7 linked regions of the Ovis aries genome follow. The protein of the gene in region 1 purifies or fractionates together with the protein of each later gene. This does not show direct contact. Links are inferred from orthologs where the notes say so. Each region holds a gene or a part of one and is shown in the gene's direction. Other genes may lie near its edges.

What was found.
Region 2: the proteins of DDX6 (region 1) and LSM14B purify together in Homo sapiens (affinity purification with mass spectrometry; 4 studies listed by BioGRID and IntAct, counting the BioPlex papers as one, with this or other methods). This does not show direct contact. The link is inferred for Ovis aries from reciprocal best matches to the Homo sapiens genes DDX6 and LSM14B.
Region 3: the proteins of DDX6 (region 1) and G3BP2 purify together in Homo sapiens (affinity purification with mass spectrometry; 3 studies listed by BioGRID and IntAct, with this or other methods). This does not show direct contact. The link is inferred for Ovis aries from reciprocal best matches to the Homo sapiens genes DDX6 and G3BP2.
Region 4: the proteins of DDX6 (region 1) and PATL1 purify together in Homo sapiens (affinity purification with mass spectrometry; 6 studies listed by BioGRID and IntAct, with this or other methods). This does not show direct contact. The link is inferred for Ovis aries from reciprocal best matches to the Homo sapiens genes DDX6 and PATL1.
Region 5: the proteins of DDX6 (region 1) and AGO2 purify together in Homo sapiens (affinity purification with western blotting; 5 studies listed by BioGRID and IntAct, with this or other methods). This does not show direct contact. The link is inferred for Ovis aries from reciprocal best matches to the Homo sapiens genes DDX6 and AGO2.
Region 6: the proteins of DDX6 (region 1) and YBX1 purify together in Homo sapiens (co-immunoprecipitation; 4 studies listed by BioGRID and IntAct, with this or other methods). This does not show direct contact. The link is inferred for Ovis aries from reciprocal best matches to the Homo sapiens genes DDX6 and YBX1.
Region 7: the proteins of DDX6 (region 1) and LSM14A purify together in Homo sapiens (affinity purification with mass spectrometry; 4 studies listed by BioGRID and IntAct, with this or other methods). This does not show direct contact. The link is inferred for Ovis aries from reciprocal best matches to the Homo sapiens genes DDX6 and LSM14A.

The regions. Positions count from the first base shown.
Region 1 is NC_056068.1:29,122,629-29,126,619, reverse strand, and holds part of DDX6 (probable ATP-dependent RNA helicase DDX6), read left to right. Parts: intron 1-926; 5' UTR 927-1,196; coding exon 1,197-1,396; intron 1,397-3,991.
Region 2 is NC_056066.1:54,762,968-54,767,757, reverse strand, and holds the start of LSM14B (protein LSM14 homolog B), read left to right. Parts: upstream 1-1,778; 5' UTR 1,779-1,927; coding exon 1,928-2,054; intron 2,055-2,535; exon of another isoform or gene 2,536-3,813; coding exon of another isoform or gene 3,814-3,841; intron 3,842-3,957; coding exon 3,958-4,121; intron 4,122-4,790. UniProt on the Homo sapiens protein: mRNA-binding protein essential for female fertility, oocyte meiotic maturation and the assembly of MARDO (mitochondria-associated ribonucleoprotein domain), a membraneless compartment that stores maternal mRNAs in oocytes.
Region 3 is NC_056059.1:91,239,605-91,243,595, reverse strand, and holds part of G3BP2 (ras GTPase-activating protein-binding protein 2), read left to right. Parts: intron 1-322; coding exon 323-496; intron 497-940; coding exon 941-1,031; intron 1,032-1,912; coding exon 1,913-2,015; intron 2,016-2,533; coding exon 2,534-2,714; intron 2,715-3,698; coding exon 3,699-3,797; intron 3,798-3,991.
Region 4 is NC_056068.1:81,406,559-81,410,843, reverse strand, and holds the end of PATL1 (protein PAT1 homolog 1), read left to right. Parts: intron 1-251; coding exon 252-407; intron 408-2,254; coding exon 2,255-2,346; intron 2,347-2,441; coding exon 2,442-2,591; intron 2,592-2,905; coding exon 2,906-2,927; 3' UTR 2,928-3,554; downstream 3,555-4,285. UniProt on the Homo sapiens protein: RNA-binding protein involved in deadenylation-dependent decapping of mRNAs, leading to the degradation of mRNAs. Acts as a scaffold protein that connects deadenylation and decapping machinery.
Region 5 is NC_056062.1:16,050,836-16,054,826, forward strand, and holds part of AGO2 (protein argonaute-2), read left to right. Parts: intron 1-566; coding exon 567-751; intron 752-1,811; coding exon 1,812-1,971; intron 1,972-3,991.
Region 6 is NC_056054.1:17,182,523-17,187,221, forward strand, and holds the start of YBX1 (Y-box-binding protein 1), read left to right. Parts: upstream 1-1,785; 5' UTR 1,786-1,924; coding exon 1,925-2,090; intron 2,091-2,345; exon of another isoform or gene 2,346-2,636; coding exon of another isoform or gene 2,637-2,670; intron 2,671-2,780; coding exon 2,781-2,844; intron 2,845-4,699. UniProt on the Homo sapiens protein: DNA- and RNA-binding protein involved in various processes, such as translational repression, RNA stabilization, mRNA splicing, DNA repair and transcription regulation.
Region 7 is NC_056067.1:44,115,246-44,119,236, forward strand, and holds part of LSM14A (protein LSM14 homolog A), read left to right. Parts: intron 1-3,660; coding exon 3,661-3,824; intron 3,825-3,991. UniProt on the Homo sapiens protein: Essential for formation of P-bodies, cytoplasmic structures that provide storage sites for translationally inactive mRNAs and protect them from degradation. Acts as a repressor of mRNA translation. May play a role in mitotic spindle assembly.

The DNA.
Region 1 (3,991 bases):
AAGCCTGGCATGCTGCAGTCCATGGGGTCCGTGGGGTCGCAGACAGTTGAGTGAGACTTTGTGACTGAATAACAATTTCCTTTTTGTGGGGTGTTGGGTTGTTTTTTTTTTTTTTTTTAATTAAACTGCTACTTCAAGTTGAGACATACTTTTGAAAGAGTTATATTTTAAAATGTAACATTTCTGTAGTAGTCAGACTTAAGTAAGATAGCTAAAGGTTTTCTTGGCTGTTTTTTGAACAGAAGATTTTGACATGTAGACGTATTTATGTCCCTTGACTGCTTTAGTTATTGTTTTTAAAGGGCAAAAACTTAGGGGGAAAAAGAAAGTGTAGTTTCTTCAGGTTTAACTTCTTTGGTTCAAATTCATAAGGGCATACATAATGCTTTTCTGAAAGCACAAAGTGAAATCAAAAGCTCAACTCTTCAAGGATTCTCAGTTGTCAGAAACAGAAAAAAAAATGAATGAATGGTTTTGCCTTGTTCCTTTGTAGATTTACATTAATTAAGCTGTGCCATTCTTCATTGAGTTGTAATGCAATTGATTGTAATGAATCATTGACTTTTAGAGGTGGCAGGGACTTTAGAGAATTCTTCCGGGAGGAAACTGAAGGGAAGAGATTATCATCTGACAGCTAATGCTAATTTAATCACAGTATTGTTCTACCTGATATTTTCTGGGTTGGTTTGAACTGACAGTTTAAATGAGATCTGTCTCAGTGCAGGTTTGGTTTTTGAAGCAATTCATTTTTTTCCCCCCTCTTTCCTATCCTGGATAGTGATTTGATCTACATGCAGCTGTATCCTTAATTCTTTAAAAGAAGAGAGTGCTTATAAAGGAGTTCTTCAAATGGAAACAACAAAGGGGTGTTTTTTTTTTCTTCAAAATTTACTGTTTGCTGATTTAACTTTTTTTCTTTGTTTCAGATTGAAGTGAGATTCAGATACATACTCAACCTTGTTAGAGGGCTTTTTAAAAAATTAAAGAGTTGATTCCTGCATGAGAGCAAGTTATTGCTGCTTACCGTTCAGAGACTTACAGGTGCTTGCCTGCATTGCAATAAAGGACTCATATATTGAGCAAGACTTATATTTATCTCTTCGTTTTGGAGAGCCTAATAAACTGTTATTACAGTTTCTCTACTGACTTTCAAAAGTTTTGAAGTTTGAAAGAGACATCTTTAAAATTAATACAGCATGAGCACGGCCAGAACAGAGAACCCTGTTATAATGGGTCTGTCCAGTCAAAATGGTCAGCTGAGGGGTCCTGTGAAGCCCAGTGGTGGCCCTGGAGGAGGGGGCGCACAGACTCAGCAACAGATGAACCAGCTGAAAAACACCAACGCAATCAATAATGGCACTCAGCAGCAAGCACAGAGTATGACCACCACTATTAAGTAAGTGTTAGAATAAATAATAAACACACTTGGGGGACCAAGGAGATATATTTCGCTACTTTGTTGTTGACTACTTTATGTATACCATTTTAGTTTAACCATTTTGATTTGAATAGAGGACAGTTGACTGTTTATGGTCAGTAGGTATTTGTGATAGAAGAATGTCTCTCTGTCGTAATTAATTCAGGTTTGTTAAGTAACAAACATAGGCACGGATAATATATATTAATTTTTTTCATAATGAGCTCAAATTCATCTTGTTTTTGCCAGTATGGCTTTTTTTCTAGTGTGATAACTTGACTTTATCCTAGTTTGAATGGCAGTTAAAGCCAATCTTAAAGACCTGTCCAGCTTTCTGAACTTCAGAGGTACTCAGAAAATTTATCCATAACTTTTTTTTTAGTCTATGACGCTTTGCTTTTCTGTCCTATTTTATTTATTTTTAAAATACGCTTTCTCCTTTTACACATACACAAAATAATTAGCAGTTTATATCATAGGGAACTCAGGACTTCAAACAGTTTGGAACACATCTCTGAATAGTCCCAAACCTCTTTGAAGACTTTTAAAAACTAAGAGCCTTATTTTACTACGGAATATTTTTCTTTTAAATTTGAAAGCATTTAGGCTGTCATCTCAACTGATCGACTTCACTTTGACTTTTCACTTTCATGCATTGGAGAAGGAAATGGCAACCCACTCCAGTATTCTTGCCTAGAGAATCCCAGGGATGGGAGAGCCTGGTGGGCTGCCATCTGTGGGGTCGCACAGGGTTGGACAGACTGAAGCGACTTAGCAGCAGCAGCAGGCTGTTCTCTTTAAGTGTACACTTTAAAGTATGTGAATGGTGACTATGATTCCAAAGAATCAGTTTAATAGAAAATTAAGAATCTTGACCCATTTGGTATTTGTGTTTGTTAAGAATCTAGCTGTGTAAGTTGATTTAACCTCTAGAAATGTGATGAAACTCAAAAGTGTGTTTTATTACAATCAAAGTCTTTTCCATGCTTAAAAGAAGCATTTACTAAAGAAAAATAGCCCAAATTTTCAACAGAATTCATTTGGTCACTGGGAGAATTGACATTAATGCATATTATTATTTTTGAGGTGAATAATTAGAAATAAAAAATGTTTTCTAAATTGCAGTTTGTCTTGACAAAATATGAATAGACTAGCAACAGTTAGTCTACTTTTAATTTGAAACATAAAGCTGCATTATTCCATTTTGAGAGCATTTTCTGCTTAAACTCTGATTTGAGACTGCAGTGGATTTTGCCTTTTTTTTTTTTTTGCTCTTCTTAAATAGCTTTTTTCCAATTCTGTGACTCTTTAAATTTCAGTTGAAATACCATCTCTTCTGTGAAGACTCCTAGATCCCATGTCTCAGAGATAGTTAATACCTATCTCTGTTAGTTAATCTCTCATTAAAAATTTTTTAACTTTCTAAGATGATGATTTTTTTTGTGGGAAGATTTTGCGTTGTATCGTCTGCATCTTTATCCACTGTTTAGTGAATTTGACAATGTGACAAGCTGTCCTACTAGGATGTTCAACTGAAAATGCTCAGAGACTTTGGTGTGGTATTATAGACTGGGGTGAAAGGCTTTAGAACTCTTGGATTTGGTGGCAAATAGTTTCCTGTGATAGAGTATCTTGGATTATGTGGGATGAAGCTTTAAGTAAAATACGTCCTTATCTTCCTGAATGAATACTCGAGATCTTTTGGGGGGGGGGGCTTTAATTATGAGCTGTTATCATTAAATCAGTGAAAATTTAAAAGACAGTTGAAAGCATTGTCTGCTTTATTGACAGTTTTTTTTTCTGTTAGATGCTTTGGATATTATATTACTTGAAGTTTTTACATGACCAAAAAGAAAATTTTTTATGTTTTCTTTGTTATTTTCTTTCATGGTTTCAAGCATCCCCATTAAAGAAGATTGAGAGATGTTTTTTATTAACAGCTAATTTTTCCAGGCACTGTGCTGCATGCTTTATAGAAGCTATTTTATATAATTTTTATCTCTTTATATATGAAAGAATGGAGATTTAGAAAAGTAACTGTTGCAGGGTCACAGAACTGATACATAGAAGAGTCAAGGCTTGAACTGAAGTCTGAAACCTTATAGATTCTTTGGTTTTAACTAGTCACCGGGAGCTACAAAATCAGATGCCTATAGGGGACTGCCAGAGAAGGCAATGGCAACCCACTCCAGTACTTTTGCCTGGAAAATCCCATGGACAGAGGAGCCTGGTAGGCTGCAGTCCATGGGGGTTGCTAAGAGTTGGACACGGCTGAGCGACTTCACTTTCGCTTTTTACTTTCATGTGTTGGAGAAGGAAATGGCAACCCACTCCATTGTTCTTGCCTGGAGAATCCCAGGGACCGTGGAGCCTGGTGAGCTGCTGTCTGTGGGGTCGCACAGAGTCGGACACTACTGAAGCGACTTAGCAGCAGCAGCAGCATAGGGGATTGCCAGATGAGAGGGGACTTGACCTATTTAAAGGCATCAGGTGCTTGATTTTAAACTCCAGTTACTAATGCCTATCAAACTGTTGCTATGCAGAAATTTGGAACCAGTGTTGCTGCTAAAGCTT
Region 2 (4,790 bases), on another chromosome or scaffold:
GCTCAGGAGACCTGGGGGGCACTGTAGCACACAGGCACGCCTTGGGGAAGACGGTGCTGTGCTGAGGGAGAGCCGTGTCATGCCTATGGGCAGACGCCTGGAGGCCTGGAGGCCTGGAGACCTTACTTGAGCTGGGCTAACCCAGGGGTCACCTCACCAGTGCACTTCCAGGAGCAGAGAAGCACAGCTAAATCTCGGCAGTTACACTTTGAAGACTTTTTCATCTTATCTTCTGCTTCTTCTCTGCTCCCTTTTCTCCAACCCAATACTGTTCTGTTGCAGGGTGCCTGTGGGACCAGGGGGTTCACAAGGGCAGGAGTCTGTGGCATCTGCAACCTGCGGGCCGCGTGACCCTCCCACACCCGGGCTCGGTTTCTTCTGTAAAATGGGGAGTCAGAGCTGATGTGCATGGTGTGGTAAGGGGTTCACAGCGGTGGCTCTCACGTTTTCATTGGGCACTTACTGCAAGCAACGCACTTTACATCTTGGTCAAGTACCCACTTAAATACGAGTACCTGAAATAAACGGTTCCCAGAGCCAGAGCACTCTCCCTGAGATGCTCTCCACCTCATTCTGTTTCGTTTTTATAAAATGCTGGTCACCACTCATTAAGCTTTTACACGACCCAATACTGGCTTCTGATTTGATGTCAAGAGAGAGACCAACCAAAAAAAAAAAAAAAAAAGCAAGTGCAGACGTAGCCACCCATAAAATACAGGGCTGTGCAGGCAAGAGGGGTCTGGCGAACAGGAGGGGAGACCGGTTCCCCAGTTCACTGCGAGGCCTCCAGCCGGAGCCGGACAAGGAGGCACGCAGGCCAGGTCAGGCGGGGCTCGGAGGCTCTCGTGGCGCGGCTGGGATTTATTTTAAGGGACACGGAACGCCACCGCAGGAGAGGGGGAGGGGCGGGATTAAAGGAGAAGATGCGCTCAGCATGTTATATTTAGCGGCCAACTCGCCGGAAGCGCTCGTTACCCGCAGTTACTACGGCGCCCCACGCGCGAGGGGCAGCCCCCACCCTAACCTCCTAGGCAGTGACCTTGATCACCTGTCTTCTTCCGCCCGAGGAAGAGACCCTCCCCCACGACCCTTCGCCTCCACCCCGCAGGCAATGATTATGGCCTGGCCTCCTACCTTCTACCCTCAAGGAAGAGACCTCCCCGGCCTCCCACCTTCACCCCACGGGCAGTGACCCCGACTTCCTTGGTCAGTGACCTCGGCCCGCGTCACTCCCCGAGGAAGGGAGCCCCTAATCTTCACCCCTGGGGAACGGGAGAGTTGAGGCGCACGCTGGCCTTCCTGCCCAGGGCCGGGGAAAGATGTCCGGCAAGCTGCTATAAAGAGGAAACTGAGAACCGTGAACTGTCCACTGGCTCCCTGCCCTTGGGTGGCGAGATTAGCACGCGCCGCAGGCAGAACTTGGCGCCCCGCCCCTTCGCCACACGTGTGTCCCGCCCCTCCCGCGCACGCGCGCTCCGCCCCGGCCGATTCCCACCCCTCCCCCAGTCCTGCCAGTCGCGTCTCGTGCTACCACCCTGCGCGGGGCCCGCCGGGAGCCAGCCGAGAAGTGGGACGGAACGCAGGGAAAAGCCCGCCCGGGCTGGTGGCGCGAGCTGCGCAGGAGCAGATCGCGGGCCCGCCCCCAGGCCGGCGGCACGGCCATATTTAAAGGGAGGCCGGCGAGGCGATCCAATGGGCGGCCAGCGTGTGGGGGCGGGGCGTGGCGGCGCAGGCCCCGGATGTGGCTGCTGTGGCCCCTCCTCCCCCGCGCTCCCCTCAGAGCCCCCGGCTGCGCGCCGCCGCCGCTCGCTCGCTGGTCCCCGCGCAGGCCCTCGCACGGCGGTGAGGCGGCGCCGAGGCCGAGGAGAGGGCGACGAGGCGACCGCGCGGAGGCGAGCGGGCCAAGCCCGGCCGGGCGGCCGCCGCCATGAGCGGCTCCTCGGGCACCCCGTACCTGGGCAGCAAGATCAGCCTCATCTCCAAGGCACAAATCCGCTACGAGGGCATCCTCTACACCATCGACACGGACAACTCCACCGTGGCGCTCGCCAAAGGTAGCGCCCCGCGGCCGCCCCAACCGTCCGGCCCCCACCCCCGCCAACAGCCGGGTCCGCGCCTCCGCCCTACCCCCACCTCACCAGCGCGCCCCTTCCCCAGTCCCGCCTCACCCGCCCGGGGTGCCCCTCCCCCCGCCCCCCTGCGCGCCCCCGCATCCGGTCCGCGCCCCCCGCGGCGCCCCCGGCCTCCGCCCCTGTCCCGCTGTAGCCCTCCGGGGCTCGACCCGCACAATGGGCTCCCCCGGCCCCGGAGGCGGCGTAATTGTGAGCGGCCGCCCCGCGCAGCCCGGAGTTGGGGTGGGGAGGTGGGGGCGGGTCCAGCTCCCGCGGCGCCGCCCCCCGTTCTCCATGGTGGCGTAGCCCACCTCTATAGGTGGGGGCTCGGCGTTGCTGGGGTTGCCTGCCCTAGGGCCGCGGGCCGCGGGAGCCGAGAAAACCTGGTCCCTGGCGGGAGGGGAGGGGAAGGGAGGGATGGGGGGGGTGGGCAGACCCGAGTCTCGCCGGGCCTCTCCGGGACGCTGTGGGGGCAGGGGGTGAGAAAACGACTCCTGCAAGCCCTTCTGGAACCTATTAAGCAGCTGGGGCCTTGAGCCTGAACAAATACCACGTCTTAATGGATTCTCCTGCCAGGATAAGAGCATCGGTTTGCGGCTAGGTGCTCCTTTTGAAAGCGCCTTCCTACTCTAATTCAGACGTTTGGTGTGTGGGTTTATCCTTTGGTGACAGACCCCTCCCTGCGGGTGCTGGTAACCCCACTGAAGTCCTGGGAGACTAGGGAAAAGATGGCTGCATTGTGCCTCTGCTGGAGCCCAGAGTCTTTCTGAGTGTGTTGAGGCAGGAGGTGGCCCCAAAGTTCCTTTGTCTTCATCCTCCGGGAAGGTAACTAGTGTGGTTCCCCTGCCTCCTAGAAGTGCTGCGTGCAGCCAGGTCTACAGAAGCCCCGTGTGGTTGGTGGGTCTTGTTAGGCTAAGGACATTGTCATGGACTTCAAGGGTCAAGGCGTAGCGCGCACGCTCCTGTGTTAGAGCCCCAGGCCTTTAGGTCGCAGTCAGTTCCCAGCTCTGGGAATAGGTCCTCCAAAGACTAGTTGTTAAGTTTTTTGATGGATGCGTTGCTCCAGGAGGTGTTGATACAAGTACTGTTAGTATTGTGTTAGTATAAGTACTAATTACTAACTAGTATTATAAGATTATAATTATTTTTACTTTTTGACCGCATTTGGCCTGAGACCCTGGTTGGAAAACCTGAGGCCCAGAGTAGTCCCTGGTCCTCAGTGTGCTCAAATTAGAGGCAGCCTCAAGCCCATCTGTGCCTCAGAGATCCCAGGAGACACTTGCTTGGGCTCCTTGAACCCTGCCATTAAGGATTAACCCCCTAGGAAGTTCCTCTAGGAGACCGTGACACTGCTGGTGGGCGTCCATGTTCAGGGCCCCCCCTCCCATTGTTTCTCTACCAGCTCCTCCCAGGCTGGTTGTGGACAGAAGGGTGGGGATAGCACTCAACCCACAGCTTTTCTCAGTTGAAAACAGACTCCCCAGGGCTGATGTGTCGTGAAGTTTCAATCAAAAAGCAGCTTTGGGGCCGTTTAACCTGCTAAGTCAGACGTGAACGGGGGTTCTGCAAACCAGACGACTCATTTTGTGAGAGTGCTGGCTTGTATTTGAAAGTGAGAACATTGAGCTTCATGAATCTTTCCTTGTCCTTTGTGACCTAGAACTTTTTGGAGCTTCGACAGCTGGGGTCTTGTCAGTTGATAATGGCATCTTCTCCATTGATAATTGTGGGTGGGTATTAGTTGAAACATGGAAACTGGGTGCTGTGGATGGCTCCTAGGAGGGGACTGATTGAATGCACTTGGTTGAGGACAACAAATTAACCCTTCTTTTTCTCAACCCCTAAGTGAGGTCCTTTGGTACTGAAGACCGTCCCACAGATAGGCCTGCCCCCCCTAGAGAGGAGATTTATGAGTACATCATCTTCCGGGGAAGTGATATCAAAGATATTACTGTGTGTGAACCTCCGAAAGCTCAGCACACGCTCCCTCAGGATCCTGCTATCGTTCAAGTAAGTGCCTCGCTGTGTTTCTGTTGTGGACATTGTTTCTAAGAGGTGCTGGTTTCCAAGTGGAACTTGGTGTCATCTGGCCAGAGTGCTCAACTCAAAAAATGATCTTTTCATGAAAAGTAGTTGAATTTTTGTCTAGACGGTTGGTGTTCTGTGGGAGGTCTTAAGCTCCTCTAGCATGCAGTGGGGTGTACTGAAGAGGGAGGTGGGTGTGCTGGGAGGGGTTGGGGCGAGATGCTTCTAGGGGAAATTACTGATATGCACCTGGAGGGCTTGTCCTTAGTGTCAGGTTGGGAAAGCCTGAAGCCCCAGTGGCGTGCTATGAGCAGCAGAGATGCTTGGAGGGACTTGGGTCAGTGGAACTCGCTCTTTCCACACTGTCCAGGAATTGTATTCAGAGTTGTGGAACATTGATGTTGGAGGTTTCACGCCACATGCCTGCCTGCTGCGTTAGGGCATGTGCCCTGGATTACTAGGGAGCCCAGGCTGATACTTTCTTGACTTGTAAACTTCGACAGTCACTGACTCTGTTGGGGTTCACACTGCAGGAGGCTCTGGGGCTGAGTGTGCCCCCTGGGAGGTAGGAGCTTGCACTCTGGGCTGTGGAGCCCGTAAAGAAGCCCCAGGCCAGACTTTGGAAAGGTTTGGAATGAGTGTCCCTAGGAAGCT
Region 3 (3,991 bases), on another chromosome or scaffold:
ATGTGGGATTTCAGCTAGTCTCTGAATTATAGGATTGGCCTTACCAAACAAGAGGAAATTGAAGGAAGAAATGCAGACAAGCAGTAAAGTAAAACCACGTGTGAGGTCATGTAGTAGTCAACATAGTTTATGGAGCATGGGTCTGTCAGTAATGCATAGCGTGGCGGAATGGATTCAAATGAGGCAGAGAGATTAAGCAGTTAGAATTCTAGAGTTGTGAGGAAATCGGCGGAAGTCTGTAGTATTGAATAGGTAACCTAGTATTAAAAAGGTAATGCAATATCATGAGTTTGTATTTCCTCCCTACCTTCTCCTAATAAAGGATATACACCACAAAGTATTATCTCTGAACTTCAGTGAATGTCATACTAAAATTCGTCACGTGGATGCTCATGCAACCTTGAGTGATGGAGTAGTGGTCCAGGTCATGGGTTTGCTGTCTAACAGTGGACAACCAGAGAGGAAGTTTATGCAAACCTTTGTTCTGGCTCCTGAAGTAAGTTTTCGTTTCAATTAATTTTCATTTATGTGATTTCATTTTGCAGTTAACTAGTTGCTGGAAGTGGCTAGAGTTTCCTCTTACAGGTATAGATATGCATGTAGCTGTTTTTGAGAAATCTGTGTTGGACCTGTTCGTTTTTTGAACTTTCTGCGCTTTGACCATTGAGCAGAAAAAAACGAGATCCTGATACAAATGTGCAAACAGATGATTAAGATTACAGAAGTAATATTAAAAGTGTGTTAATAGTTTGAAAGTAGTCATTTCTTGAGTTTAAGTATTCTGCGATTTTCTTCATATTAACATTATAGCATGTTAAGCTTTGGAAAATTATATTTAGTCTATATATTATTTCTGTATTAAAATAAAAACTTTATTCTCTTTATGTCATACCATGTTTATGGGTATTTATGGAGTATTTGGGGTGTTTTTTTTTTATAGGGATCTGTTCCAAATAAGTTTTATGTTCACAATGATATGTTTCGTTATGAAGATGAAGTATTTGGTGATTCTGAACCAGAACTTGATGAAGGTGAGGTTACTTTCAAGATACAAGGGTTTTGTTGGTATCAGTACTCTTTAATAACATGTAAAGTGTGAAACTTACAGAAATTTGACTCTGTAACTGAGTCAAAGCCCCTTTGCTCCTTTTTGTTCTTTTTTTTTGGTTTGTTTAAAAAACAGATGTTCTTTATATGAAATTATATAAAAATCATACACAGAAAGTAGAAAAAAAATCTCCCTCAATGTCATCTCTATAGATAACCAAGAATTTGGTGCCTACTACAGAATTTTGTTATATTCTATACCAACTGATACTTTCCTAAAAGTGGAAGTAGCTGATTCAAAGCTAGGCCTTTTTTTCATCTAATTTATCTTTGTTAGCTGTTGATATTTTTTTGTCTGTACCATAATTATTTAATCTTCTATTGACGTACATCAGCTTGTTTCTTATTCTCTGTCATTATTGCTTCATTGAATTAATGTGGCAAAGGAAACTGAGTTATGACTTTAAGACCATTTTTTCTGGGGACTTTGCTGATGGTCCAGTGACTAAGACTCCGCACTCCCAATGCTGGGGGCCTGAGTTTGATCCCTGGTCAGGGAACTAGAACCCACGTGCTGCAACTAAGATATGGCACAGCCAAATAAATAAATATATATTTTTTTAAAGACCATTTTTTCCTACTCTTTCCTTTTCTTACTAATAGATCTTTTTAAAAAATAGTGTAATTCCAAACTTCTTCTTGCTTGCTCTTTTTTAAGAGAACAAGGAATATTAAGTGCCTTTGTACTTTCAAGAAACACGCTATTTTTAAACTATTTTATGATTTCTTTGAACATTAAAAATATATATATGAAATTGTATATTAAGCCTCTTAATAAAAGATGTGGTGTATTATGTGTTGTCAGAATCAGAAGATGAAGTAGAGGAAGAACAAGAGGAAAGACAACCGTCTCCAGAACCTGTGCAGGAGAATGCTAACAGTGGTTACTATGAAGCTCACCCTGTGACGTAAGAATAGTGCTTGCAAGGCCACCTTTGGCCTAAACTATTCATATCATGTAGTTGCAAGTGGTTTTTGTTCCTAGAATTGTTGCTGAAAGTAAATTCTTGATAAAGCTATGTAGCCAGTGCCTGAGTATTTACCATGTATATGCAAGAAATTTGGAAAGCATTCTTACGTTTAATTCAAAAATCGAATGTGGGTTTGACCTAAAAGTGATCACTTGCTAATAATGTGTACTGTTTGGAACAACACAGAGTACGCATTTTATTTTTTAAATAATGGGTTTTCCTTATTTCCTAATAGTACTAAAGTAAACATGTTGAGTAATCCAGTTTTTACATTTAGGTTAAAGAAATGCTGCTTGAGAGTATTGTTCCTTCTGCCTTCTGGTTCTTAATGAACTTTGCTTCAAAACAGTGTATATTACTTGTTCTGCCCATTAATTAGAGAAATGCTGAATTTTCTCCTATTTGAGTTGATCATTTCACTCCTGCTGAAAAGTGAACAAAATATTTTGTTGTAGTAATGGCATAGAGGAGCCTTTAGAAGAATCCTCGCATGAACCTGAACCTGAGCCTGAATCTGAAACAAAGACTGAAGAGCTGAAACCTCCAGTGGAGGAGAAGAACTTGGAAGAGTTAGAGGAGAAGTCTGCTTCTCCTCCGCCTGCTGAACCTGTTTCTCTGCCACAGGAACCACCAAAGGTTAGATCAGAGGAACTCTTTAGACCCGTAACATCACGCTTTCATACGGTGCCGTTAATGAAGCATGACTTTTGTTCTGTTGTGTTAATTGCTGAATAGTAAACTGTGCTTTTTTATGTGTATGAAAGAAGCTGTGGGGTTTTTTTTTGTAATTCTGAGGAAATCATATTTCACCCCCTAAAAAACACCCCTCAGAATAAAATTTAAGATTGATTCTTATCTGTGTGCAGTGTTTAGTACCATACATGAAATTATTCGAGTCCATGTAATAAAGCCAAGTGTTGCTCTTCCATTCTGTATTAAGTCCTCTACACACGGATGCAAATAGGAGTCATGCAGTTTCCCAAGTTAAAACAAATTGGCCTATTGTTAAAACAAGTGATAACGTGTGCTATTTCTGGTTTAAATGGGAACAGTTTCCTTACTACACCAAACTGTCTTGGAAAGATGAGTGATACCCATAGTGTTTCATTTAAACCTACCTAAAACATCTTTTATCTTTCTGTAAAGTAGGTATATTTGGGTAGTGAGAGGAGGAGATTGCTTGCTCTATTTGTGAATGTCTGTTAAAGTTTCCAGCTAGTACTCTCTTCTTTCCTGTCCTTCCTCTCTCCCCTTAGCGCCATCACAACACCTTATCTTCCCCCCAAAAGGGGAAATAAATTGATTCTATTAGGTTCTTATTTTTCTAGCATGTGTAGTTGTTAGTGGTTTTGCTTGCCACTTGCTCATCTACTTAGAGCATATAGGAACTTGCTTGTGGATTTATTTAGTAGTTCAGACAAACAGTCATAATCTTGCATAATGAGATTTTGAAACCTGGCACATAGACTGGCATGTGTGTGTGTGCCTTTCTTTTTAGGAGTCCTCCAATATAGAGCAATAGTTTAGAAATGAAAAGAAAATATATATTTGGAAGTTTCCCTATAGGAATGTTGGTGGTTTTCCATGATTAGTAGTCTAGGTTTGTTGCATTTCCTGCAGGCTTTCTCCTGGGCTTCAGTGACCAGTAAAAACCTGCCTCCTAGTGGCACTGTTTCTTCCTCTGGAATTCCACCCCATGTTAAAGCACCAGTCTCACAGGTAACCAATCTGTGAACACATTGGATTGTATCCTTGTTACATTGCCAATTGCTTATCTTTTTCATACTTTTTAAAATGAGTCAATCAGAAATTATGGATTAAATATACAGAAAAATTGTATTAAATGTCAGTTGCACCCACTTTAAATGCCAGATCTCCATTCATCATCTGTATAGGTGGTATTTGGGGTATGG
Region 4 (4,285 bases), about 52 Mb from region 1:
CTGTATTTGAGAAGTGATTTTGCACCCTTGGTTCACACAAGTAATGATGTTCCTGTGCGCGTGGAAAAAATTCTCAGCAGTTGCCATGGAATCCGCTGCTGAGATGCTGGCAGTATCTGCCGGACTTGTCAGGCTCCTTTGTTACATCTTGCCTGGGGCAGTGAGCACCCCTCCGTCCCTGCCCACTCAGGGCTGTGGCAGAAGCAGCAGCTACCAGACTGTGATGGCCTGTCCGTTCTGTCTTCCGGTAGGTGCTGCCGTGCCTATTGAGTCCCTTCTCTCTCCTCCTCTACCATCTTCCACCAGTGACCGTCACCAGCCTTCTGCAGCAGCTGATGAACCTACCTCAGAGTGCAGCGGCCCCAGCTCCGTCCAACCCGCACCTCTCTGCCGTGCTCCAGAACAAGGTGAGCCCTGAGCCCTGCGAGCCTTCTCAGCCCGAGGAACGGGTACAAATGGTGGCTGCTGGCGGGAAACAGGAGGGCTAGGGGGTTGCAGCTGTAGCCTCAGCCGGGAGCTCCATTAAGCTCGTGGTGACAGAAGCTGGAGGTGGTAGTGATTTTCACAAGACAGGGTGCTCTGTACCTCACGTGGAGAAAACCCGGTTTGTGTTGGGGTGCAGACTCCTTTGGTCCCCTGCTGTGCCCTCCCAGCAGCGGCTGCCACGCTTGCGTCCTCAGTGGGTGTGGAATTTAGAGCTCCGCTCTGCACCAGGAGGAGAGGTGGGTTTAAAGGGCTGAAGGGTGTGGGGGATCTGGCCTCCTCACTTGGACCTTTTCCCGGAGCTCTAACCACCGACTTCTACTTAATCTCAACGGCCAGCTCGTAGTCTCACGCCACACCCGAGTGCAGGGAAGGCTGGAAACATCTCTGAGTTCACGCCATTGTCACCACGGGTAGAGTCAGATCTAGTAGGAGGAAAGAGGATTAGGTAGGTAATGAGCGGTCTTTGTCACAAGACATCCCAGTTCATATTTCATTTATATCAGATTAAAGGTCCAGAGACTCCCAGGAGTCAGTACAGAAGGAGAGCGGTGCGCTTTTAGGCAGAGCAGGTTTCCACCCCTCCTCGGCCGCGTCCTAGGTTTGTGACCGTGAACCGGTCATTGCACTTTGCTGAGCCGGTTTCCTGATCTGTAAAGTGGAGGTGATGTCGGCGTCACTTAGGTGAGCAGGCGGCCGTGAACGATGCAGTTTAGTGCTGGGTACGCAGTGGCGCTCACTCGGGACCATCCGCTACAGTAGAGGGACAAGGAGACCCGGGGCGGGTGGGGGGGTGCTCTTCTGCACCTGAAAACCTGGAGAGCCTGGCTGGAAGGGCAGGGAGCGCCTCGGAGACGGAGAGGGCGGCGGGGCCTCGGGACGCGAGACGGGGTCCCGGAGTTGTGTGCCTTCCACGTTATTCGGTCCCTTAGCTTTATTTTGATAAAGGCAGTGCAAAAGCCTGAAGGCAGATGAGATGATGTGACCTGCTGTTTTTCTGACAGTGACATGAAGGGACCTTTGTGGAAAGGCGAGGATATCCTCCGTGAGGTGGACTCAGACGGGGGGCTGGAGTCCCAGGACCTGCCCGCTTCCCTTCCTGGGCCCTGGCAGCCGTGACCCGTGCGTCCAGCCTCGGCCTCGCCCGTGTTTTTGCCCCTTAGAGTCTGTGTTTTCTGCTCTTCCTGCCCACGGAGTGAAATAAATATTCATGTGTTAGCAGTCCTAGATACGGCGGATGGATCTGCTCATCCTCTCTTCATCTTTCAAACTCTCATTAGCATCCTCTAAGCCTTTATATTTCCAGATATGTATGTCATTTTTTAAGGGAATGTTTTCTTCATAGCCTAATCATTCCATTTCCCTTTCTTTGTGTATTTTCCCACAGGGCTTTAACACCTGTTTTCTTAATTCAAACTCTATGTTTTACTTTTTTTGTTTTTTTCTATAAACTTTTAATTTTCTGTATCAAAATTTGTCTTCTTGTAACTTTCCCTTCTATTTCTGTTCTAGTAAATAGGAGAAAAGCTACCCGCCCCCCACCCCCATCTTGTGGCAGGGAAGAGTCTGCTTTTCATCAAAGGGTGGGATGGGGGAGCTGGGGGCTGTGGGGCCCGGGGCTCCCGTTGCCCTTGAGAGCCTGAGCTGCCGAGTCAGGAGGGACCCTTCTGGGCTCTGCGTGGGCTCGGAGCAGCACGGTGGAGGGTGCCTGCATTCAGCGCTGGCCCCGGCCGTCAGTGCGGCATCTGACACCCTCTGTCTCCTCTCACAGTTTGGCCTGTCCCTGCTCCTCCTCGTCCTGAGCCGCGGGGAAGACCTACAGAGCTCAGACACCGCTTCAGAATCGGCGCAAAGCAACCCGTGGTCAGTCTGGGCCGTGTTTCTTCTTTGAAGTTCTTTCAGGTCCTCTTTTTCATTCCTTTTCTTACATTATTATTTTTCTCGGTTTTCCCTGTTAGGACGGAGGTGATGTTCGTGGCAACCCGAGAACTTTTGCGGATTCCCCAGACGGGCCTGGCCAAGCCAGTCTCTATACCCACAAACCTAGTATCCCTCTTCTCTCGCTACGTTGACCGACAGAAACTGAACTTGCTGGAGACAAAGCTGCAGTAAGTTGGAAACAGGAGGGTCCCACATCTCCCTGAAGCTGGCACTTCAGAAGCTACGCTGAGGAGGTTGGGGGTGAGAGGGGCGTGAGACGCCGTGAGCCCAGTGGAAGAGATTAAAGACTTCTGTGAAATACACGAGTGTCTGCTGGATGTAAAGCACTGTGGCCGCAGCAGAACCCTCCCAGTGGGACAGCAGCTGGGGTCCAGATCTCGCAGTGTTCCGATAGGAGAGGTCACACAGGGCTGGGTTCTGGTGCAGATGACTGCTCTCTGAACTCATTCACACAGGTCTCCTCTCTCTCTTTGTGCCGTAGGCTAGTTCAGGGGATACGGTAAAGGCCTCCACGCGCGTCCTGTGCCTCCTCTTGGCTGCCTCCTGCTCTGCTGCCATCGCCAATGGAGTGTTGTTTTAAACGAGGGAGGGAAGGTAGCTCACTCCCCAGAGCGTCTGGTGGGACCGAGTCCATTCACAGGGGCTGTCTCTGAATGCCAGGTCCTGCCCACTGCTCTGTGAAGCGTGGCTGGGTTCACACTTCGGCTGGTTTCTTACCTTCTGTGTGACAGTCCTGCATGTCCCACGTTACTCGAGTCTTCTCCATCCTGCCTTTTCTTTGCCCTTGAGACACAAACATAACCTCTCCCTTCATCCCCCCACCACCGCTCCAACTCAGAGTAGGTTGTAGCCTGCCACAGAATCCCTTCCCTCATCGCCCCTTATTTCTATGACTGTAGGAGAGCTGATGAAGTAGAGATATAAATATATACGCGCACACACACACCCCGACACATATGTTTATGTGGCCTCCAGAGGGCCCTTAAAGAACGAGTTTAGACTGAGAAATTTAGTTGGCACACCATCCCTTCTCTAACCACAACCCAGCTGATGTGTTTTTAATCTGTTCCTCATCCATCCTCTGCTGATTTGATGGGTTCTCCCTGTTCTAATAAAATATAGGGTATGCAGCACGCGTAATAAGCTCAGTGCGCTCAGTGGCCGGTGCCCAGCCCTCAGCTGAGCCGTTCTTGTCTCCTCCCCGCCCGGGTTTCCTTCGGTTCTGAGCGCAGCAGTGGAGGCGGCACACGGCTAGGCTCGGCCCCGCTCCGGCCCCGCTCTGGCCGCGGGCGCTTGAGCCGCGCCTGCAGGTGCGCGGAGGCTTGCGGGAGCGCGGGCCTGGAGCCTGCTGCCACCGCGCAGCGTCAGCGCGCTCGCTCTGTCTTCCTGAGACCGCTGCAGTGAGCCATGCTCTGACGTCCCCTTCCCTGTCTGCACTTGGTGTCCTGGGGGGGCCTCCACACCTCCCCGCGGGAGCGCAGGCCGCCGCTCCGCCCCTTGGTCCCTCGGCTCGGCAGGCGGAAGCGCTGCCCTAGCCCCTTGGTCTCGCCTGCAGCCAGGGCCTGGGTCTGTGTCCGGGGGGGGGGGGGGGGGGGGGCGCCTGTGGCCCCGTCACCACCCTCTACCGCTCCGCAGTCACCCAGATGAGGGCCTGGGTCCCTGGTGATGCCAGCCCTGAACAGACAGCATCTGATTGATCTCACCCGCCTGTCCTGAGCACACCTCGCTGCTCTCACCTTTCTGAATGTAGTGGGGAGGGGGGCAGGTTCCGGTATTTAATACCCAAATGAACATTTTGCACATAAATGTATTGTACAGCAGTGAGGCCCTCCGCTCCAGCCGGCTGTCCTATTCTCCGCCT
Region 5 (3,991 bases), on another chromosome or scaffold:
CTTTATCGTAAAAAGCTGGGATGTTTCTGTCCCTGCGCTAAAATGGAAGCTGTGGCTCGTCTCCCCCGCCCCGCCTGTGACGGCCGCAGCTGCTGGTGCTGCTCTTGGCTGCGGGCTGTCTTGTTTTCTCCCGTGGCCATGTCATCTGAGTCCAAGCTGTGTGCATGGGATAAACCGGGGGAATCCAAAGGGATAGTCAGTTCATGGCTCTCATTGCCCTGACAGTGCTCGGCGTCTGCGGGCAAGTGGGCAGCAGCTGTTTGTGCCCGACTGTAAAAGAACAGCCCTGTCGCTGCCTGGGAGGGTCACAGCTGGTGGGGGCGGCGAGGCCACGATATGGCGTCTCCTGTTACATTCTGACTTTTCAGGGACCTGTGTGCTGAGCACGTGGGCAGCCTCTGTACATTGTCTTGTTGAAACAACCTCATCTCGGGCTTCAGCAGGGACTCAGCTCAATGAAAACGGCCTGGGGTCTGGATCAGTTAACACTGCCCTTTCTCGGGGCCTCTGGTGGGTCTGGATCGTCGGCACTCTGGGTTCTTCATGTAACGACCCTGCTCCTCCAGGTCCTTCACGGAGCAGCTCAGAAAGATCTCAAGAGATGCGGGCATGCCCATCCAGGGCCAGCCATGCTTCTGTAAATATGCCCAGGGGGCGGACAGCGTGGAGCCCATGTTCCGGCACTTGAAGAACACGTACGCTGGCCTGCAGCTGGTGGTGGTCATCCTGCCGGGGAAGACCCCCGTTTACGGTAGGTCTTGGTGCTGCCCCTGCCCTGGCCCTACGGGTGTGCGGTGCGGCCTCTGCCACACCCAGGAGGGGCCTGTGTCTGAGTGAGACCAGGTGGTGTATGATTGTGGCATGCACGTGCCCAGGGCCACCTTGGCAGTGTCATCTGAGGCCCCGGTTCCCTGGGATGGGTGTCCCGAGGGGGTGCGGGATGCGGCAGGCGTGCAGTTACCTTGTCCGCTGCTGACACAGACTTCGGCTGGATGAAGAATGGTCACACGATATGCACGCAGTAATCCCCTCGGAGGGGCGGGGGCAGTCCTCAGCTCCTATTTGGGACTTGGCCCTCCTCTTGTGAACCGTGCCATCTTAGAATCCTCTGGGATTTGATCAGAGTCCTTTCTGCCAGAAGGCCGGTTGCACTTCTACCTAGCTCAGAGTTTCCAAGCCCTGGGATGGAGTCCCAGGCCCTGGTGGGGGAAGCTCCCGGGTGTAGGCAAGCGTTGGGGAGGTGGGTGCATGTGGGTCTGCTGGAAGCCCGGTGGGAACCGGAGGCCCCGTGCAGGGAGGTGTGTGGGCACCATGGGGAAGAGGGAAGAGAGGCGCGATTGGCTCGCTGACTGGCTTCCCCGTCTCCCATGGGCTTTGCATCCAGGAGCAGGAGGAAGCCCGGGTGACTTCTCCCAGGGTCTCCCGTCTCTGCTGGCCTGTCCAGAGAGCAGTTGCCCACTCGCTTCACAAGAGAACCCAGAATGGAGGGGGGTGTAGGCCTGGAGAGCACTTTGGCATCGGGTTTGTATTGGCCAGGGACTAAGGATTCAGGGGTTTATATTTTTGACTACTCAAGCGTTTGCTTGCTGACCCGAGTGCCTGGTTTCCAACCTGGCCCTGTGCACACTGCCCTGTCGGCCTGGAGAAGTTGCAGAAACGCTCCTGACTGAGAGCGGGCCTCCCTGAGCCGGTGGGGGACGCCCCGCAACTGGCACGGAGCTGGGTCCAGGCTTGGCCGTGTGTGTGTCAGGCGCACGGGGTGGGCAGAGGAGCGCCGGGAAGCCGTGCTGAGCACCCTGTTCTCTCGGCAGCCGAGGTCAAGCGTGTGGGAGACACGGTGCTGGGCATGGCCACGCAGTGCGTGCAGATGAAGAACGTGCAGAGGACCACGCCGCAGACCCTGTCCAACCTCTGTCTGAAAATCAACGTCAAACTGGGCGGCGTGAACAACATCCTGCTGCCGCAGGGGAGGTGAGGCTGGCCCTCTGCCATGCATGGGGCAGCGGTGGTGACACCCTGGGCAGGGCGATGCTGGGGTGGCTCTGCTCAGCTATGCTGAGTGCTGTCCCAGGCTTGGCAGGCGCAAGAAGTGAGTAGGACGAGGGTCTTGGCTGCTCCTGGTCTCCGTGTCCAAGGCCCCTGAGGACTGGTGCCGGCCCAAGGAGAAGGGCTCTCTGACCCCATCCGGAGGTGGGTCCCGCCTGTGAGATGTGGCAGCTGTGTGGCCAGTGCCGTGTAGACAGGAGGACCGCACCAGCACCCCAGGTGCCCTACGGTCAGTGCTAGGACAGGGGGCTTCCCGAGCAGGAGGCGGTGCTGTCGGCCCCAGGCCAGGGCCAGGCTCTGGGGGCTGAGCAGCAGTGATACAGCGGAAGGGAGCCCAGAAGGGTGAGGGCCTCATGGAGGAGGTGGCATGGTGCAGACTGGGCACTGGGGGCAGGGCTGTGTGGACACCAGGAGCAGCCTGCTCCAGAGGGTGCAGGCCGCGCAAGGGCCTTGGGGCAGCCTGCCTGCTGGGAGCGTGGCGGTCATTCGGCTCAGAGACCGAGGGGCGAGCCTGGGGGCCTGGCACTCGCTCCAGGGGAACACAGCCACTGGGGAGGTTCACAGGAGCGGCCCCGCTGACCTTGTTCTGAAAGGCGACCCCAGCTCTGGACAGACAGGAGGGCCAGGCCTGCCGGCGTCATCCCAGGAGAGCCACTGGTGGGAGCTAGGCCGGGGGCGCCCAGAGCCGTGACGTTTCGGCGATGGCGCTGCCTGGCTCACTGAGAGGATGCGTTTGGTCTGTGAGTGGAAGAGGAGAGTCTAGATTGCCCCACCCTGGGCTCTGGGAGCGATGAGGTGACGCCAGCTGAAGCAGGGGTGCAGGGGCGGGCTGGGGGGAGCCTGTGCTGGAGAGGCTTGTTCAGGGCTCCTCACGTGTGGGTGGTAGTTAGAGCTTGTGGGCTGGAGAGCACCCCGGGGTGCAGTGTAGACAGGAAGGACAGCCAAGCCTGGGCCCTGGGGGGTGCAGGGTTGGAAGGTCGTGGAGGCGAGGCGACAGCTCTGGAGCCCAGGAGGAGGTGGCGGGGAGCCCGTGCATGGCCGCCACACGGCACCGACCAGCCAGATGTGGCGAGGTGTGAGGCCCTCGGCCACAGGGCTGGGGGACGTGAGCAGGGTGCAGGTGACCCTGCAGAGAGCAGTCCTGTTGCCATGGCAGCGTGAGGCCCGGTCTGGAGGCAGGAGACGGGCTCAGCTAATCCCAGAGCTCTGCTGCCAGGCGAGCCTGGGAGCCGCGGGGCGGAGTGGACTGTCCAGTGGCTGCTGTGGTTGTGCCGGTTCAAAGTGTGAGTCAGAACTGCGTGTGTGGGTGCACCCAGGACCCATCAGAGGAAGGGGAGGGCAAGAGGAAAAGCTGTGGAGCCTGGGGGGCTCGGTGCAGGGCACCTGGGCAGCACGTGAGTCTGGGAGGAGAGAAGGATGAGGCATCAAGAAGGCTCCCAGTCGCACAGCCAGTGAGGCTGGGGCCCACCAGCTGTTGGAGAACTGGGCCCCCAACACTGCCTCTTTGGGGAGGTGACTGCTGGAGTGTAGCCAGCATTTAGAAGACCCTGGGAGAACAGCCTAGCTCTGTGTGTCCCCACTGGGACACATTCACCCCCCGAGAATATGTGGCTGTGTCTGGAGACACTGGGGTGCTGGGTAGAGAGCGATGTGGCTGCCAGGCGCCCTGCAGTGTGGCCGCAGGTCCAGGGTTGGCTGCAGACCTTGGACTCTGTGGACGCAACTATCTCGGAAACGCTCGGTCACCTCCCTCGTGCAGTGTGCGCCGCCTGCAGCCTCTCCCGCTCCGGGTCACTCTGCAGCAGGTCTCACCCCGAGCCTTTGTCCCCGTCAGATGTTCTTTGTCTGTGTCAGAGAGATAAGGAGTCTTTAAAGCAGAGCCCCAGAGTAGGGCTGGTGCCCATGTCCTGAGAGGTCCGGGCAGCATCCCCAAGCCGTGGCCCCT
Region 6 (4,699 bases), on another chromosome or scaffold:
TGTTTACTGACTGCCTATGGTTACTTTCAGGCTCTGTAAAGCTGAGTGGTTGAGACAGAATCATCTGACCCCTAGAGAAAAAGTGTGCTTACCCCTGCTCTGGGGCTTCCCAGGTAGCTCGGTGGTAAAGAACCTGCCTGCCAATGAAGGAGACATGAGTTCCATCCCTGGGTTGGAAAGATCTGGAGAAGGAAATGGCAACCCACTCCAGTATTGTTGCCTGGGAAATCCCACAGACAGGGCAATATGGTGGGCTGCAATCCATAGAGGTTACAGAGAGTCGGACACGACTTAGCAACTAAACAGCCACCCCTACAATGAGCACTAGATGATGATGGCCTACATCAGAGTAGCAGCAGTAGGAATAAAGACTGGATTGGCATTTAGAGATTTTCTATGACTGATTCAGGGAGGCGTTTAGGAGGTGGAATTGACAGCCTAAATGATACCGATAGGGTAAGTGTTACCACACTAGCCTCCTAGGCGGCTTCCCTACTTCCAAGGTTCTAACCCATTCTCTACTCCCTAGCATTAAAAAAAAAAATCATTCCAGTCCCCATTTCAACTCTAAAATTACCCTTCTCACTACTGCCCTTAAGTTTCAGATAAAATGTTCCTAATTTAACCCGGCCTTCCTGTATAACCCAGCGTCTTCATTCTGGTCCTACATAACTACTTTAGTTGCATTTCCCCCAGACCCCCATCTCTTCCCTCTATGCCTTTGCATAAACCTCCATGTGCTTGAAGTCGGCTCTCTACCTTCTTCCCACGGCCACTCCCAAAACGCTTTGTGCGTTAGCAGCGCTGGGGTGTTTGGTATGTCGCATTTTGAATTTGTGCCTTCATCCCTAGACTGAGTTTAAGAAGGCTGCAACTGGCGAACTTGTCCATCCCCGGGAGAGAGCAGACGCTTTATAAAGAACGAAGGTGCAGGGCTTCATCTACTTCGTGTGGCAGCCTCAATTATGGCCGTTGTAAGAATAACATGCCTAGCTTGCTCAATAAACGTGAGTTGAAATTAAATCTTTTTTTGTGGCCAATACAAAAAGATGTGAATACTTAACAAGACAGTCCTCCTGTGCTTGGAAGGCAGGTCCCCATGGAGTACACCCCCGCCCTCCGCCCTCAATATTTTTAACAGGGGCTTCCTAATAGCTAGCGTGATCCCCCCCGCAGAGTGACTGGTTCGCCGTAAACCGACGCTCTTTGAATGGAGACGTTTAAGTATGTTCCAGAAACTCCCGGCTGTGCCGCGAGTACACGGCCATTGTAGAAAAGACGGCTCTATCTGCAGTAATGGTCTGAGGTCACAGGGACCATATTTGGAGCAGGGCGGGAGGGAGGCCTTCTCCACATGCAGCTATGGTGTCGTCGGGCCCCGTTCCAAGCCCCCAGGTCAGGCCGGGTAATCCCGGCGCAGGCATCTGGCCGTACCTTTCCTTCGGCCAGGACACAACCCTGGACCTGGAGCCGGCCCACCCCGGCTGCAGCCTCGTGAAAGTCACGTCCCCTCTTGCCCGTCCTCTCCGGTTCTCTATGGTTCTCGTGGTGACTCTACTCTAATTCTAGTTCCGGTCTCTATGGCGGCAGCAGAGGCAGGAACGGTTGTAGGTCGGCCGAATTAGCCGCCTAAAGGCCAATGAGAGTGGAGGAGTGAAAGACTATTAGCCAATAGAAACTAGGAGTTGTGGTCAGGTGGTGAGATTGACAACACTATTGACCAGTGAACGATGCTTAGGGCGGGTCGCTCGCAGGGCTTATCCCGCCCGTCCCGCCATTCTCGCTAGTTCGATCGGTAGCGGGAGCGGAGAGCGGACCCCAGAGAGCCCTGAGCAGCCCCACCGCCGCCGCCGGCCTAGTTACCATCACACCCCGGGAGGAGCCGCAGCTGCCGCAGCCGGCCCCAGTCACCATCACCGCAACTATGAGCAGCGAGGCCGAGACCCAGCAGCCGCCCGCCGCCCCCCCCGCCGCCCCCGCCCTCAGCGCTGCCGACACCAAGCCCGGCACGACGGGCAGCGGCGCAGGGAGCGGCGGCCCGGGCGGCCTCACATCGGCGGCGCCTGCCGGCGGGGACAAGAAGGTCATCGGTGAGAGCCGGACGTGGACGGGGGTGGGGCAAGTAGGGAAGTCTGGCGGCGGAACCGTTACCCGAAGCGGGGCGAGCCGGCGGGCGCGCGGCCGGCGGGGACCGTCTCGGCGGCGCGCGGCCGCCCCTCCCCCAGGCCCCCCCACTCGCGCCCTCGCGGACGCTGGCCCGCCCGGTCCGCGTGCCCGGCAAGCGCGCGCGCGCGCCGCCTCCCGCGCCCCCTGCGGACCCCGCGCGGCCGCGCGCCCCTCCCCCTGTGCGGCCGCGCGCCGCCGACCGCGTGTGCGGCGGGGTCCCTCCCCTCCGTGCCCGCCGGCCGCGTGCGCCCGGGCCCGCACGCCGTTGTTCCGTCCCCCACCCGCTCCCTTCCGCGTGTACCCTGAGGGCGCGGCGCGCCGCCTACGCAGGCCGGAGTGGGCCGGGCGGCTTCCCCCTTCTCACGTGCTCGCCGCCGCCCGCGGTCCCCGCGCACACCCAGCTCGGGCCCGCGCCCCGGGCCTGACCCGGGGCCTCTGCTGCGGTGGGTTCACCCACGTGGACCGTGCGGATGGCCGGCAGGCCCTGGGGAAAAAGGCTGTCAGGTGGCCATGGGTCTTTGCCAGGGAATGCGTGAGCCACCGGATGCTGAAGCGTGGCGGTTTTGAAAAAGGACGTCTAGTAATTGTGGGTTTTTTTTTCCTCTCTCCTTCAGCAACGAAGGTTTTGGGAACAGTAAAATGGTTCAATGTAAGAAACGGATATGGTTTCATCAACAGGTGAGATGACCGCCGCTGAAGCCCTGTCCTGCCTCTTGATTGCTCTCCTCCATCTGTAGGCTTTAGGAACTTGGGGTTGTTGGCGCTTGTGTAGGTTGCCATCCCTGGTGTAGGGCTAGTGGGGTTTTGTTTTCCTTGGTGACCGAAAGGATTAGGAGACGTAGAGATTGTCTTTGTTTTGTAGCTAAATGTTGATCTCTAGCTAACTTGAAAGATACAAAGCGATTTAAAAGGCAGGCGGAGTGAGTGAGCCATCTCTTACCAGGGCGAACTGAGAAAAAGCTAAGATCTGGTGTGATTTTGTTAGGCTTAGACACCTCGCATTTTTATCCGTCATTCTTTTCTATGTTACTGAAATTGGTATTTGAAATTGTGAGCCGCTGTTTACTATGTAGGTTATTTACAACTTTTTAACCTTTGGAGGTAACGTGCTTTGACAATGCAAGTATGTCATTTTGACTAAGGTCTTATTGCCTTATTCCTCCTACTTCCTTGTCCCCCCAAATCGTACCTGTTAAATCTTTGGTTGTAGCTTACAGTGACCTTAGTCCACGATTACATTCGTCTTTGTATTTGAAGGCAGAGCTGCAAACTGCATCTTAAGGATTAACCCTTTGAGTTGTTTGTAGCAGTGGGATGGTGACGGCAGTTCGCTCACAGTGCTCTTCGTGGTCCCTGTCAGCCGGGCATCTTTTCCAAGATGGCTGCCCGGGCTGGTGGTGCAGCTACAGGGTGTAGAGCAGTGTGCGTGCTGACAGCAGTGTTGGCCTTACAGGTGTGATGCGGTCATCGCAGCGTTGTATTTCTTAACACCCCTATTACGCTGGATGTTTGAAAGAACTTCAAGAGTAAGAAGTAATACCGAATGTTTCTGAAATGGACTCTACTGAGGGAAACCAAGTGGGCAAGATCAAGCCTAGACACACAATTGGCTGGCAAAAACCCACTAGTTACTCAAACGCTCAGAAAGCAAAAGAGATTGTAAGCATTTGACGGTCTGTTTTCCACGTTTGCAGTTGAGGAAACATTTTGTTTCTTCCAAAATCTTTAGGAATTTTCCATCTGTTCTTACACTGCCTTGGGACAGGCCAAGGCCACATTTTCTCATCAGTTTTTTGATAATGGGTTACTAGTGAGGAAGGCAGGGACTGCTTTGATGCCAGTGTTTGACCACTTTTTAGGTGATCTCTGAATTTGTTAGTATTTCAGTCTTACTCTGATTTTACTTTGGCCTCACCCTTAAACCAGTGGTTTTCGAATTTGTGTGCTTACCTTGAAAGGATAAAAGTACACATTCCTGAGTTCTTTCTTAGCTTAGATTCATTGGGTCTGAAGTACATTTTTAAGGAGAATTCCAGGTGATAATAGCCTGTAAGCCTTAGTTTGAGAAACACTGCTTTTGACCTTTGACCCAGTGTGGCGATAGGCTATCACAGGTGTGCCTATTAGGAGTGATCTATAATTTGCAGCCTTTTAAGTAATTTGTGTGTGTGTTTTAAAGATTGTGGTATATATGTGCCTTCTGTTCTGCTGCATTTGTTAAATGGATCTAGATTATATTTGTAGGTGAACAATTGATAATCCAAGATAAAAGCAGTTCTTCGGGTTCTAAGTTTATTCTGTGAGATAACCATTCCTTTATCCATCTAACTTGTAATCAACTCTTTTGATCATCAGATAGGGCAAGTTAAATGTAAGTTGGCTTTTAATGATCCTTTGTTTGGATTGTCTTAACCACAGTGTTTTGTCAAACTAACTGGTTCAAATAAATGTGCTTCACATTTCTAAACTGGTTGTCTCAATGATTCAGAGACTTTTGAACAAGACACTATAAAACCTAACAGAAGTTAAGTCC
Region 7 (3,991 bases), on another chromosome or scaffold:
TTGTTTGTAATTAACAATACTGTGATGTACATTTAAAATTTTGTTAAGAGGGTAGATCTCATGTGGTGTATTCTTACAACAGTGAATCTGATGGGCTAGAGTTTACGGGGTTGCAAAAGAGTCAGACATGACTTAGCAACTAAACAACAATGCAATTAAGAAAAATCGAGAATTCCCTGGTAGTCCAGTGGTTAGGACTTGGCGCTTTCAGTGCTGAGGCCTGCGTTCAACAGTGGGTAGAGAACTAAGTTGCTGCAAGCCGGGTGATGTGACCAAAAAGAAAAAGCATTAATAGATAACAGTATCAAAATCGCTGGTGAAGTATACCTAACAATGGAGTTGTCTGCCAGCTTGAAAGGGAAAAAAAGTAAGGTAGCATGATGGAAGAAAGTATAACAGAGCTAGTCTGCTACTTGGAGGCAAGGACAGAGTGCATCAGGATCAGGAAGAACCACACAGTAAGGACTGGTTACTGAGCCAGGAGGAAACTTGGGGTGAGTGGGAATCATACACTGTTCCTACACGGTTTTCTATGTTTAGCCACTGCTCCCTAAAATACAATAAATAAAATAGCAGGTTAAAATAAATTAGGGATGAAACAATGTGATTTCTGACTGTACTGACATAATTCCCTTATTAGCCAGTTGCACATGAGCTAATTCATGTATTAAAATTATTTGTAGCAGAATAGTACTGGTAATTTTCTACTTTGTCTGTTCTTGTCCTGCTTGCTCTTTCTGCTGTTAGCATCCAGGTTCCAGCCTTCACTACCTCTCATTTGTTCTGTTATCTTCCGGACATTTATACCCTTCTTATTGCTGTTCTAATTAAGTTATTTTTTATAATACTAGAAGAACTGTCCTGAAAGCATTAAAACTGATCAAATAGTCTCTATCATTAGAACCTGTTTCTCAAACTCTCAGTGTGTGCAAATGATTCTTCATGGTGTCTGTTGCCATGATTTTTTACTTTGACTCTCTTGCTGATGATAGAGATTTTCTTCATACCATATGTTGGAAAGTATGCTTTTAATTTTCAGCTCTACTGTGGGTTATCTTTATGACCGAAGATAACAAATTTTTAAGCCAATGTATGTGAATTTATCAACTTCCCCCAAACTTTTATTAGGTAACTCCTTACTGTAAAAGCTGGGAGTATTCATTTATGAATTTCCTTTCATGTTTCCTTTGCTTCTTATTTTCATCTCCCAACTTTTCTGAGAATAGAGTGTAAAATAGATACCATCTTAACAGCCCACAGTTGGAGAAGCCTGGTAGTCTATAGTCCATGGCGTCGCAAAGAGTCAGACAGGACTGAGCAGCTTCACTTCCCTTTTCTAACACTTGGTAACTTTGTAGTCTTTCAGAACTATTAAATTTGCATCCTATCCTAGCACCTTCAGCGGTAAAGAATCCGCCTGCCTATGCAGGAGTCATGGGTTCAGTCCCTGGGTGGGGAATGCAGTAGGAAATGCCAGCCACTCCAGTATTCTTTCTTGGAAAATTCCATGGACAGAGGAGCCTGGGAGGCATGGGGTCACAAAGTGTTGGACACGACTGAGTGAGTGAACACGCATGCACACTTGCACCTGGGTAAATTGTCACATACATTAATGTGTTTAAATGATTTTATTGTCCATCTCTTATTTTTCAATGCCATTGTCTCTGTGAGTTCTTTATTTTGATGTAGTAAAGGATAAGTCTGTATGGCTTATATTGCACTAAAGTTCTTTATTTTTTTTTTTTTCCTGGAAATACAGTGAAACCTTCTGATCATATTTAGGTCCTTATGTCAGGAAATTTGTTATATCTTTAGTTGCATTTTGTCTTACTTGTTCTGTTGTCTTTCTGAGAAACTATTCTTATTATGTTTATTCTGCAGCTATGTTTGTCTTACCTCTTTTTTTTCTTTCTTTAACTCTATGTGTTTTCAGTATGTGAGTTTTACTTTTCTTGAGAATATAAAGCAGTTCTTTCTGAAATTTTCTTGTTTCATCCTTCTTTTGGATACATGGATATCATTTGAATGGTTTTGTTATGCCTTGGATAGCCTAATAGAGCTTCTCTTTGGTTTTATAGATGGAAGACCTTTAACCCCACCCCACCTGCCCGCAGCTTCAGGATGAGCTGATTTGTTCCTTTGGAGGTCTGGGACTTAATAAAACTTTGTATGGTGGTAATAGTGCTGGTGCTGAGTTTAGGAGTGGGATTGATCCATTTGTAATTTTCCTAGCTTTCTTTTTGGTTAAAGGACAAAACATAAAACCATGTCTGTTACTTCTGCCCTGATACAGTATTGTTTGGCCACCAGAGAGAGAGAGGAGCTTCAGCTCTGACATTCTACATCTTTTCCTTTATCACATCTGTGTCCTCATCCATCAAGCTGGAGTATGCCTGGGAAATTCTTAGCATGCTATATGTGGATTCTGGAGTTGGCCTTCCAGAGTGGACTAACTCAAAAAATATCTGCATGATACTTTTTAATAAAGTTTTATGGTATAGGTTTGAGGTATTTTCTTGGTTTAGGGGTATTTTAACTTTTTAATTTTCTTTAGTTATAGGGTGGAATAGTCATCTGCAAACCTACAACTATGCCATTATCTTTTCCTGAAAGTCTCATAAGTACCTCAAAAAATTTTTAGGATTAAGAAAAAGGCATTTAAGCTGAAATATTATCTTCAGTCTAGCTATGGATAAGTTCTGCAGAAAAATATAAAACTTTGCACAGTGTTAAGGGATTTGCTTCCTCTAGGGTACTCTTTAAATGAATAATATCTGATATGGCAGGCTTTCTTATTTGGAGTGTCTATGGGGATGTCAACATTTTCAGAAGTCTCCTAAGAGAGTGAACCTGAAGCTTTAGTATTAATAAGAAACTCTTGAGGAATTGATTTAAAATATAGATATAGATTTCTGTATCCTCTTCACAGAAAATCTGAGTCAGTGGATTCCAAAATCTTTTTTTTTAGCTAGTTTACTCTGAAACAGCTGGTCACAGTTCAACTTTGAATAATGCCATCCTGAGTGTTAGAATAGTCAGATTTAATTACGAGGTAGATATTTTAGGTAACTAGGGCATTTCAGGCTGTCCCATGGAGCCGAGTAGCTCACAGAGGCTTTACTTGGTTTCTAGAGGATGTACTACTAACCAAGGAAGATATTCTTTTCATTGTCTTATCTTAAACCTGAAGCTCAATTTCCCGACTTTGGGATTTTTGTAGATTGGGAAAATCTTCACCACACACACACACACTCTCACTCACTCACTCACTCACTCACTCACTCACTCATACGAGTTGCCAGTTTTTTATTTTGCTGAATGGGAACATTAAAAATAAATCAATAATGAAAGGGCTTTTTTTAGCACCTCTTACCACAACCACCAAAGATGTAAGTAAGTGACAATGTAGAAAGAACACAATACTTTCTAATACAGTATTCATAATACTGATAGTCTTTTAAATTGAACACATGTAACTCTATGCAAAACCCACTTTCTTTTCGACTTTAAAAAAGATTTACTTTAGCTACAAATTAATGAATGCTTTCTCATGGAGGGCATTTAAGTGCCCCTTAGTATTATTGAAACAGTGCACCATAAAAGGCGCTATCTGAATACAGTGAGTAGACGCCTGTCTCATATCCTCTGTTTTCTTACCAGTTCGGTCCTTTGGTACAGAAGACAGACCAACAGATCGTCCAATACCACCTCGAGATGAAGTCTTTGAATACATAATATTCCGTGGGAGTGATATTAAAGACCTTACTGTTTGTGAGCCACCAAAACCACAATGTTCTTTGCCTCAGGACCCAGCTATTGTTCAGGTAACGTTGTAAATCTGTCTTGGAGTACAAATAAATTTCATACACATAACTAGCCTTGGATTTTACCTCCTTGTTTTAGTCTTTTAAATTTTCTCTATTGAATATTCATGGAACTTATTACCATTTTCTAGTTACCTAGATACCCAGAATAACTGGGTAATGTTCTC